3 linked regions of the Sus scrofa genome follow. The protein of the gene in region 1 interacts with the protein of each later gene in a biochemical or structural test. Links are inferred from orthologs where the notes say so. Each region holds a gene or a part of one and is shown in the gene's direction. Other genes may lie near its edges.

The links.
Region 2: the proteins of RHNO1 (region 1) and HUS1 form a complex in vitro, tested with the Homo sapiens proteins (2 studies listed by BioGRID). The link is inferred for Sus scrofa from reciprocal best matches to the Homo sapiens genes RHNO1 and HUS1.
Region 3: the proteins of RHNO1 (region 1) and TOPBP1 form a complex in vitro, tested with the Homo sapiens proteins (2 studies listed by BioGRID). The link is inferred for Sus scrofa from reciprocal best matches to the Homo sapiens genes RHNO1 and TOPBP1.

Annotation. Positions count from the first base shown.
Region 1 is NC_010447.5:67,243,246-67,246,993, reverse strand, and holds the start of RHNO1 (RAD9, HUS1, RAD1-interacting nuclear orphan protein 1), read left to right. Parts: upstream 1-843; 5' UTR 844-991; exon of another isoform or gene 992-1,049; intron 1,050-3,748. UniProt on the Homo sapiens protein: Involved in microhomology-mediated end-joining (MMEJ) DNA repair by promoting recruitment of polymerase theta (POLQ) to DNA damage sites during mitosis.
Region 2 is NC_010460.4:48,522,147-48,525,882, forward strand, and holds the start of HUS1 (checkpoint protein HUS1), read left to right. Parts: upstream 1-795; 5' UTR 796-891; coding exon 892-943; exon of another isoform or gene 944-947; intron 948-1,557; coding exon 1,558-1,685; intron 1,686-1,781; coding exon 1,782-1,958; intron 1,959-3,736. UniProt on the Homo sapiens protein: Component of the 9-1-1 cell-cycle checkpoint response complex that plays a major role in DNA repair. The 9-1-1 complex is recruited to DNA lesion upon damage by the RAD17-replication factor C (RFC) clamp loader complex.
Region 3 is NC_010455.5:74,843,655-74,847,402, reverse strand, and holds the start of TOPBP1 (DNA topoisomerase 2-binding protein 1), read left to right. Parts: upstream 1-1,025; 5' UTR 1,026-1,215; intron 1,216-1,841; 5' UTR 1,842-1,848; coding exon 1,849-1,932; intron 1,933-3,748. UniProt on the Homo sapiens protein: Scaffold protein that acts as a key protein-protein adapter in DNA replication and DNA repair. Composed of multiple BRCT domains, which specifically recognize and bind phosphorylated proteins, bringing proteins together into functional combinations.

The DNA of each region.
Region 1 (3,748 bases):
TTCTCCACTCTGCCTCCTCCCTTTCCTTTACATCTAGGTTTCCTCTCCCTTCAAATCTCAGTTTTACCTCCACCTCCTATCTCTTCTGGCCTTCCTCCCTCCACCCATCAATCAGAAGACACTAGTACTGGCTTCCTACCCCTCACCCCAGGATATCTTTCAGGTCTAAAGTTTAATTTTCCTTTCTATTCAGACCACCCTCTACCTCCAATGGCCAATCCTTTCTAGCCCGGAACGGCTCCCGCGACCCCCGCGACCCGACCCCCATCCAGACCACATAGGACAAGGGTCTCCAGGACCGCGAGGAGGGCCCTGGGAAAGGGCGGGGTGGAGGCAGTGCAGCCTAGTGGTGAGGGCACCTGGGCGCAGGGACTGGGAGCTGGTCGGTGTCGGTTCTAAGCGGAGTGGGCTCAGATGGATCCCATCCGCCGTCTGCCAGAGCGAGCAGGCCGCCCTTCCTCCCAGGGAGGGCCCGGGCCGCTCCGCGAGAGAGGTGAGGAGGCCGGGAGGTGGTGCAGAAGCGCGGTGCAGCCCCGCCACCTCCCGCCGGAGCCGGCCCTCCGCGCCGTCTTGCCGCCGGGCCCCCGGGCCTCCCTCCTGCCGCCGCTCACCTCTCTGCACCGTCAGCTCTGGGCTCCCGGAGGCTCCGCGCTGCTCCCACCTGCAGGCCGGGCCGCGTCCCCGGGCTGCGGGGTGGGGAATCCCGGGATCCCGCCGCGGGGGGGGGTGTTGTCCCGGGCCGGGGCCGGGGGTGGGGTCCCGCTCCGGAGCTTTCAGTTTGTTCCGCTGTTTGAAATTGGCGCCGGCGGAGCGTTGCGGTCACGTGACGGGCGTGGCCAATCGGCGGCGGCCTTGTTTCCGCGATCCGCCTAGTCGTCTGGGCGGGCGCTGCGGTCCAGCCCGGCAGGTGAGGTTGCTCGGCAGGCGGGAGAGGCCAGTGAGGTGGCCCCGCCGGGCAGTGAGGTCGGCGGAGCGGCGGCGGGTGAGGCAGGTGAGCTGGGGAGTCGGGACCGCCGGCGAAGCCGCGGCGGGCGAGGCGGAACCTAGAGGTGCGGGCGCGCGGCTCTTGGGGAGGGCGCTGGAGGGCTCCGCTGCGGCGGGACGCGGGGACACTGGGTATCACGGGCAGGCCCCGCAGCCCTCCGGGCCCTGAGCAGTCGCCGCCCCGGGATCTTACCCCCTCAGCGACTTCCCAGCTGGTGGAGGGGATGGGGGAACTGTCCTCCGTTGACCTGCAACCAGCGACCGTCCGGAGCCCCTACCGGCCTTCGGGCTACTTGGGCGCAGTTGTGACCTTGTTCAAGCTCCCTCCTCCTCAAAATTTACATACAGGCCGCAAACTCCGCCTCGGCTCTGAACCTTCAATCCAAATCTCGTCCCCGGCCCCATGCTATCGTTTATATGTGGTAAATTACTTTATTATTAACTTAGGCAACACCTAAGTTTAGTTGAGCACCCATTGTGCACCAGGCGGCGCTAGGATGCAGTGGCAGAGGGGCCTTTCTCCTGAGCTTAAGGTCTGATGGGAGGAGAAAGAAGACATTTTCGAAGCAAATTACCTATTTAAACAAATGGAGAGTTCAACTGTGAGGTGATAAATTAGAACTCGGGGATCACATTGAGTATCTCCAGTAAGAGGATCTGGCCTTAAGGGAGGTGAGAAGAGCATTTCCCAGGAACTCATGCTTGGTCTGTGATCTGATACCTTTAGGCAAAGGTGGGAGGGAGACCCTCAAAGCAAAGGGTGGGAGGTGCTGCAGGGCAGTGTGGTAGGAGGGGAGGAAGGGAGGTCTGCACAGAGGCTGAAGCGTCTCTGAGGAGTGTGAGCTAAGAGACCTGTGCAGAGTGCGTGTGAGATGAAGCTGGAACCAGAGCCTCAGGACCTTAGCCACCACTGAAAAGTTTGGCCCTTACAGAGAATCAAAACATGTTAAGCAGAAGAGAGTCAGGATTAGATTTGCAGTTTAAAGAGTTCACGGAGGGGTGTGCCTGAGTAGGCCAGTTAGGCTATTGCACTGCCCTAGGCCAGAATTGTTGGAACTTGAAGGGTGTGGGGGCCAGAGGGAGTAGGAGAAAGAGGAGTAGGGTAATGTTATTATTTTTCACAAAGGATTACTTTTATCAAATTTTGGGTTGAACCTAATAAACAAGTCTCAGAAAAAATAGATGGCCACTAATGCTGATCCCAAGTTTAGTACTGAACTATCACTAAACCCTATAATTCTGTTTCCCCCCCTTACAAGTATAAATTGACATAACACATTATATTAGTTTCAGTTGTACAACATAATGATTTGCATTTTGTGTGTGTGTGTGTGTGTCTTTTTTAGGGCTGCATCTATGGCATATGAAAATTCCCAGGCTGGGGGTCAAATTGGAGCTGTAACTGCTGGTCTACATCACAGCCACAGCAACACGGGATCCGGGATCCGAGCTGCATTTGCGACCTACACCACAGCTCACGGCAACGCCAGATCCTTAACCCACTGATTGAGGCCAGGGATCGAACCTGAGACCTCACAGTTCCTTGTTGGATTCGTTTCCACTGTGCCATGATGGGAACTCCCTTGTTCTCTTTTCTTCATGCAAGTTTTTCTTCACATCTTTTCAGATAGGTCCTCCCAACCAGCCCTAGGTCTAAACAGCCCTAGGTCAGCTCAGCCCTTAGGCCATTTCCCTTTTATCTGTACCTCTTATCACTTCCCAACTAGATGTAAGCGCCACGAGGGCAGGGATTGAATTTTGTAATCTGGTAAATATTTTCAGCACATGTAACAGTGCCCAAAAAATAGTCATTCTGTAAATATTTATTGAGTAAATGAATGAACAAATGGATGTATTTATTACCTATGTTCCCCCTAAAATATTAGGGTACCCTCTACCCTTGAGGGTAGAGACTTAGTCCTTATTTTTCTTTACCTGCATCTCCACTGCTTAGTGACATGAGGGATGTTGCTTTTTTGTTGTTGACTGAATGGATGAGTCATGGCTGTATAGTAGAACCAGTCTGCCCTGCTGTGTGGACCTCTGGGATGCCCTGCCCTACCTCCTACTCTTCTGCCCACTGCATTCAGACTTTGGTCCCACCAACCATTGATAAGTTCTTACTAAAACTGATCTGGGGAGTTCCTGTTGTGGCTCAGCGGTAATGAACCCAACAAGTATCCATGAGGTTATGGGTTTGATCCCTGGCCCCGATCAGTGGGTTAAGGATTCAGCGTAGCTGTGCTGAAGGCTGGCAGCTATAGCTCTGATTTGACCTCTAGCCTGGGAACTTCCATATACCACACCTGTGGCCCTAAAAAGAAAAAAAAAGCTGATCTGGTTCTAGGTTCCCTGGATGCTTTTTCAGACTTTGTATTGCTTTGTGGGTCCTGCTGACCCTGCCTCTGTCTCCAGCCTCCCATCCCTACATGACACAGCCCATGTTCTGGCCTCATCTGCTCTCAGGTAATACAATAACCTTCTCACTGGTCCCCCTACTTCCAGGGCACTTGTTCTCTCCTTTCACGCTGCTGCCAGGACAACAGAAACAAACAAAAACCAGTTATGGCACTTAGGAGACAATTGAAAATTTGAACACTGGTTATTTGATATTTACTATTTAAAGAATCTACATATGTAAATATATATTGTATATTATATAGATACATACAAAATATAAATGTATGTATTTTATACATTTATGTTAAATGTATAGTGTTAGTTGTGTTAATAGGAATGAAACCATGACTGGGAATATCATATT
Region 2 (3,736 bases), on another chromosome or scaffold:
CACTGAGCCATGACAGGAACTCCTAATTTTTTTCCTCTTGAACAAATCAACTCAGTCATTTATGGTTAGACAATTTTCCCCAAACACCCAACACCATAGATGTTGTTATGCCTAAAAAAAATGGTTTTTTTTAAATGGCAAAAAACTAAGTGATTTAAGGTAAATATCAATATATTATGAAACACTGTTTACAAAGCTTGTTCAGATACATTATTTAATCACATCCATGACTTCCAGAGCAACCACTTCATCTAATGATTTATTCTTTTCTTAGGGGCGCAGCTGCAGCATATGGAAGTTCCCAGGCGAGGGGTCAAATGGGAGCTGCAGCTGCCCGCCTGCCCCAGAGCCACAGCAACTCAAGATCTCAGCCTCCTCTGCCACCCACACCACAGCTCATGGCCACTCTGGGTCCTTTAACCCAGCGAGCAAGGCAGGGACTGAACCTGCCTCCTCGTGGATGCTAGTGACCTTTGAGCCACAACCGGACTCAAATTTGAAATTTAAAGCAATTTTAAAGCAACATGAGGGGAGGTTCTAAAGCTCCCCCACATCAGAGGTGTATATTTAAGCGATCGTTTCACCTAATACTTTATAAATAAAGGATTGACTTTATTTCTGAGGTTCTGAAACAGCACTGGAAATAAGTATCGCAAAAGTTCTTTCAAGTTGGGCCGCCTCGGAACCACTTCCTGCACCTGAGGGCGGGTGATGGCGTCACTTCCGGCAGATGCTGCCACACCCCGGGGGCGGGACCCAAAGGCCCGGCTCCCCGCCCCAAAGAGGCGGGCGGAACCCAGGGCGGGGCTGCGGCGTTTCCGGCGGGAAGCTTAAGGCGGGACGCACTGGAGTGTGTCGCCGGCAGACGCCCCCGGCGGGCCGCGTCCCGCCATGAAGTTTCGGGCCAAGATTGTGGACGGGGCCTGTCTGAACCACTTCACCCGTGAGTAAGCGGCCGCGTCGGCCCAGGTCGTGGAGAGGAGGGCAGAGTGGAGGGAGGGCGGCCGGGAAGGAGGCAGTGCGCGCGGCTGGGGCCCTGCGAGGAGGGGCGGGGTGGGGCCGAAAGGGATGGGGGCCCAGCCGGAGGCTGGCGGCGGGCGCAGGTGGACGTGAATGGTTCCTAAAACCGGACTTGCCTTGCGTGGCTTTCCTTAAACTGGTCGCCGGCCCCTAAAGACGCAGACCTCTATTTCCACTCCGGTCCCAGAGCGCTCTCCGCCCCTGCCGGCCTAGTCTTGCCCCCTGCAGGACCCAGCGGCCGCAGGTGGGCCCGGAATGAACGAATGCGACCGATCGGCACCAGTTAGCCTCTGAGTCTGGGTTTCTTTCTTCCAGTCCTGAGGGCGGCGGGCGATGCTACCGTGCAGGCCTGTTGAGAGGCTGGCGTGACTTCAGCGGGATAAAGCGGTATTCCCGGTGGGTCGTAGTGTAAACGGGATTTTCTCCACCGGGAAAGCGCACCATGCCGAACTGAATCGGGAGTTCTGCAGGCTGACGTGGCGTCTGGGATACTCGGCCTGCTTCTTAGTGATTTCTTATTTTAACCCTTTGCTATAGGAGTCAGTAACATGATAGCCAAGCTTGCCAAAACCTGCACGCTGCGCATCAGCCCGGATAAGTTGAATTTCATCCTCTCTGACAAGGTGGCCAATGGAGGGGTGAGCATGTGGTGTGAGCTGGAACAGGTGAGTGCCAGCTCCTGAGAGGCCTGCAGACTCCCCCTAAATGCCATTGGGAAGGGCGTACATGTCCCCCCCTCCCGCCGCCTTTTTTTCCCTTAGGAGAACTTCTTCAGCGAATTTCAAATGGAAGGTGTCTCTGCACAAAACAACGAGATTTATTTAGAGCTAACGTCGGAAAATTTATCTCGAGCCTTGAAAACTGCCCAGAATGCCAGATCTTTGAAAATCAAGCTGACTAATAAACACTTTCCATGCCTCACAGTTTCTATAGAGCTGGTAAGTAGGAAGGGATCGTTTCTTAAACTTCCCAGAAGGAATTAGAAGTTATAAGCCTAGGCATGTTAACGCTATGTGGGAAGCTAATTGGTTTTATTGAAATGAAAGGTCTGTCCTCCTTGTGTTTATTTTTTATTTTTAAGGTTTTTTTTTTTTTTTTGCTTTTTTAGGGCTGCACCCACATCATATGGAAATTCCCAGGGCTAGGGGTCTAATCGGGGCTACAGCTGCTGGCCTACACCACAGTCACGCAGGATCCAAGCCGCATCTGCGATTTACACCAGAGCTCATGGCAACGCCATTGCAGATCCTTAACTCTGGATCCTCAACCTCTGAGCGGGGCCAGGGAGCAAACCCGAATCCTCATGGATCCTAGCCACCCAGATCCTCCTTGCATTTAAATGACATTGTTATCATGTACTGTTCAAGTAGGATCCTGCTTTGCCTATGAAATAACACATCTGCATCTTTTTTCTTAGATTTGCATATTCCAGCATCTCCATTTCTTTCTTTCTTTTTTTGTATGGTACATGGTTCTTTTTTTTGTTTTTAATTACTCAAATGAATTGATCACATCTGTCATTGTATAATGATCATAACCATCTGATTTCACAGGATTTCCATCCCACAGCCCAGGCACATCCCCCCACCCCCCAGCATCTCCATTTCTTTTACTGGTATTGTCACCCAGTCTAGAAACAGTTGTTTCTCTCCATTTTCACCTTTCAAGTGTTTGTGTGTCCCTCCCTTCTTCCCCTCTTCTGCCATTAACACCTTTTTTTTTTTCTTTTTACAGTCACACTTGAGGCTTTGCAAATTCCCAGGCTAGGGGTCAAATTGGAGCTGTGGCTGCCAGCCTGTGGCACAACCTCAGCAACACCAGATCTGAGCCGCATCTGTGACCCACACCACAGTTTGTGGCAACTCCAGATCCTTAACCCACTGGTAGAACGAGGCCAGGGATCGAACCTGCATCCTTTCAGAGACAACATCAGGTCCTTAACCTGCTGAGCCACAACGGGAACTCCTGTGTACTTTTATTTGATGTGTGAGCACTGCATTTAATTTAGTGCTCTATGGAGGAGGATTCCTTTTCTTCATACTTTTTTCTCAGCTCTTGGCAGTTAGGCAGTTCTTAGAGCTAATCAGAGTATTTCACCTCACAATGTAAGTGTAGTATGGTTCTCCAGATGCTTAAAGAAAAGCAAAATAGCAACATATACTGCTTTTCTATCTTGAAGTGCAGGATATCTTGCTTCATTATGAGTCTCATAGGAGCCTCTGCACATAGACAAGCCTAGTTTTATCCTTCCAGTGCTTTTGCACACTGAGTGTCCCCTGCACACAAAAGGGTCTCTCGGTCCCTTCTACACCCCTTTAAGAGTTGTGTGGTGTCTGAAAAGCCTCACGACTTTACACACGCTGTTCCCCTGCCTGGGAGAACACTGTGCCCCTCGTCCCTATTTTTCTGTGGCTGACAGCTTCTCCTTGTTCTGGTCCGATCTGAAACATCACCTCTCAGAGAAGCTTTTTCTGATCTCCTAGCTAAGAACCTCTTCACATGCTCACCTGGTTGCTGTTTGACTGCAGTAGTGATTGTACATATTGCATCAGCTCACACAGTTTGTGCGTTCTCTTCCTTACTGACCCATGCGTACCGTTGGCACCTCAGGGACTTTATCTTGTTCTTGTTGAGGACACTTCCAGCTCCTAAGAGGACCCAGAGCTGGAACAGCACCCCATTAATATGTGCTAAATGGACTCTGATGAGTGACTTG
Region 3 (3,748 bases), on another chromosome or scaffold:
TTTACAACTCTAGTAACTTTCACTCATGTGTATGTAGACTTGCCTCACCATCTCCCTGATAACAGTGCTTTACCTTTGAGCCCCTGTGTTATTCTGACTACCCTTCCACAGATATGTTCACACACTTAGACCCAAGCTGCTCTTTGCTATATTGAGACATTAAAACGGAAAAGAAAAACAATCAAGGTACAGGGCCTTAAACTCTCAACATTACTCAAGTCATGACTTTATCAACCTCGTCTGGAATAAATTGAGGAGAAAATGCTAACTCAGCACTTTGTCATTGTCCATCAACCAGCCAGGATCCAGCGATCCTGTTTCACCTCCTCTCCCCTGATCTTTGCCTTCTCAACAGTAGCTTCCATCCCAGAATCTAACTCAAGTGGTTACAGAGAAGGAAAATGAGATGCTCATTGAAAGGTTTAAGGGAAGGGGGAATCACAGAAGACCTTGGTAAAGATCTCTTTGCACCAGGTGTGTAATTCAGGTCGTCCTGACACCTTTCTTCCCTTTAGACTTCCTGGCTGAGGTAGCTGATGAATACATTCATAATACACTGAAAGGAAAAGAATCCAGTCCGCCAGTCCACAGGGTGAAACAGACCCGGAAGCAGTCTAAATTCTACTTTACTGTGACCTTGAGCACGTCACTTAATTTCCCTAAGCCACAGTTTTTACATCTATAAAGTGGAGATACCACTATTTGCCCCACAGTGTTGTTTTGGACGATAATACATGGTCTCTAGGTGTAAAATATTTATCGAGGAAAACCCTCTTTCCCCTGGCTTTATTTTTTGGGTGTATTGGGGCCTCCTCTAAGGAACTCCGGGCCCCCTACCCGCTAGTCCTCAGCGCTTGGCCAACTCCCAGCGGAGCCCAGCTCGCCCTTCCGAGCCCGGAGGTCCCAAAGGCTCTAGCCCTAGATTTCCAGAACACCTAGACTGGGATCCCACCTCACCATAGCGACCGCCCACCACGTCTCTAGACGCCTCTGCCCGCCTCGCTCGACTCCGTTGATGTCACTTCCGCCGGAAGTTTCTGCAGTTGGCGCGAAAGTCAGTTCGGGTTCGGCAATTTCCGGGTCTGCGCTTGCTTTGGGCCGGGGGCGCCGCCGGGTGCGGCGGGTGTGCGCCGGGCTGGCGCCCGAGCCCAGCAGCCGTCTTGCCGGCTGCGCGGCCCCACTCTCGCCGCCCGGAGACCCCCAGGCGCCACCGTGGTGAGTGAAGCTCGGAGAGAGGAGTCAGCTCCTTCTCCATCCCGCGGTGCTTTCGGGACGCTGTCTCTGGCCTTTGGGGCCCTGTAACCGGCCCGGGACCGGCGGGTGGAACTTAGACGCCAGAGAGGACATGACTGCTTGCTGGACCAAGAGCCGGGCCTTGCCCCGGGAGCTGGGGAGCAAGCGCTTTTCGGCGGCCAATTACGGGGCATGACTTTGCTCGCTTGTTTTCACGTTTATATTTAAACGTTTACATTACTGAGGGCTGAACGTACCTCAAGGGCCGCGGATTCCCGCAGGGACCGATTCATTCAGAGGATCTTTAAGCTAAGTACAATTGAATGCGCTTTGGCTTAAGGAACTTAGAGCCCCTGAGCACAGGCCCTTGACGGATTCAATTTAGCGACCTTAATTTCGTTATCCGATTTATTTGCAAGGATTGGTGTTGTCATCTTTTTCCTTGACTTTGTCCACATTCCAGTGTTTTCTACAAACCGTAATGATGAATTCAAAGGCAAGGCCAGAATGTTTGTCCTGAGGCATTCTTATCTACGCAGGAAAATAGGTGCTTTAAACATTTAACTTCATATGTAATGTTCTTGTTAACGGTTCCTTTATTTTGACAGTTCAAAAATGTCCAAAAATGACAAAGAACCGTTTTTTGTGAAGTTTTTAAAGTCTTCAGACAATTCCGAATGTTTTTTTAAAGCTCTTGAGGTAAGAATACTTGAAAATGTCTTGTTTGATGCAGTGAATTCCTTTTCTTGTTTTTAGTTGTTTTGATTTATTAGGCCTATTATGTCTTATTCATAATTATTTTATGTTCATAATAGTTTTACTGTAGTCTACATTATTAGATATCTCATTGTTACACATTTTTGAATTGATGTAAACATTATATATTTGGGGGTGCATGAAATCTTTGATGACATTTCTGTTGAAAGTGGTGGACCTGCTGTTCTGAAAATAATTTCTTTTTGTCTACAAACCACAGACCTTTGTTGAAAAAAATGTGAGTCCTGTATTGGTTACACTTTCTTTTTGTTGATGTTAATTGTTAAAACTATGTTTTGTTATGTACAGTATTGTATCAGAGCAGGTAGGGTCGTGTAGAGCCTTGTTACTCACTGACATCATCAGTAGCATCACCATGGCCTGAGAGTTGGGCCCTAACTCATACTTAGCAGCTAGAATCTGGTTTTTAACAAGATCCTGTGTTCAGGAATTCCCTTAGTAGCTCAGCAGTTAACAAACCTTACTAGGATCCAGGAGGATGCGGCTTCCTTCCCTGGCCTTGCTCAGTGGGTTAAGGATCCAGCATTACCATGAGCTGTGGTGTAGGTCTTAGACTCTGCTTGTATCCTGTGTTGCTATAGCTGTGGTGAATGCCAGCAGCTTTAGCTCCCATTCCACCTGGGAACTTCCATATGTCGTGAGTGCAGCCCTAAAAAGCAAAAAAAAAAAAAAAAAAAAACCAAGATCCTGGGTCTGTTAAAGTTTAAAAACCACTGTTGTAGCAGGTTTCTTTTTAAAGTTCATTCATTCAGCAAGTAATTATTGAGTATCCTTCATCTGATGAGCACTGTTCTAGTACTCGGCATGTGTCAGTGATCAGAGCAGACAAAGATCCATAGTTTTTCAGAGTTTTCATTTTAGTCTAGGAGGAAATAGACATTAATCAGACATATAAATGAAGAAACTATAGTGTGTTAAAGGTGCTAAGTACCGTGGGGAGAGAAATGCAAAACAGGTTAAAGGGTTCTGGAGGATGTTTGTTGGGGGAAAAGGAGAAGGGAAGATAACAATTTATTTTAAATAGAATGTGATCAGGGTAGACTTTATGAAGAAGGTTCTATTTGAGTACACTTGAAGGTGAGATAATGAGCCATATAGATATCTGGGGAAAAAGGTTTCAGGCAGAAAGAATAATCACACACAGGCCCCTGGGAAAGTGTCACAGTGTCTGTTCAGCAATAATGTGGCTGAAGAGTAGTGAGCAAGGGATGGGGGAAGACTGTTTAGGTTTACTGCAGAGAGTAAGAGTAGAAAGGTCAGGAGGGCCTTGTGGGCCATTGTAAGGATTTTGACTTTTATCTTGCAGTGAAACAGAGCCACTGGAGAGTTATACTCTGAAGAGTGACATAATCTGACTTAATTTAAAAAGGATGACGCTAAGTATTTAACATAAGAACTTCAAAATTTATTCTGAAAATACTCTTAAGTGCTTACTGGGAGTCATGATATGTTGGCAAACAAGAAAGAGAATGAAACTTTCATTCTTGTAAAGGAGAGAGACAAAAACTATAGATATATGAATATATAGAGAGATTGATATATATGTGTTATTTTTCTTCATAAAGTACACTAGAGGCACAAGATTATTTTAAAAAGTATGATCGGGGAGTTCCTGTTGTGGCTCAGTGGGTTAAGACTCTGACTAGTATCCTTGAGGATATGCGTTCAATCCCTGGCCTTGATCAGTAGCTTCAGGATCTGGCATGTCTCATGGCATAAGTTGCACATGCAGCTCAGA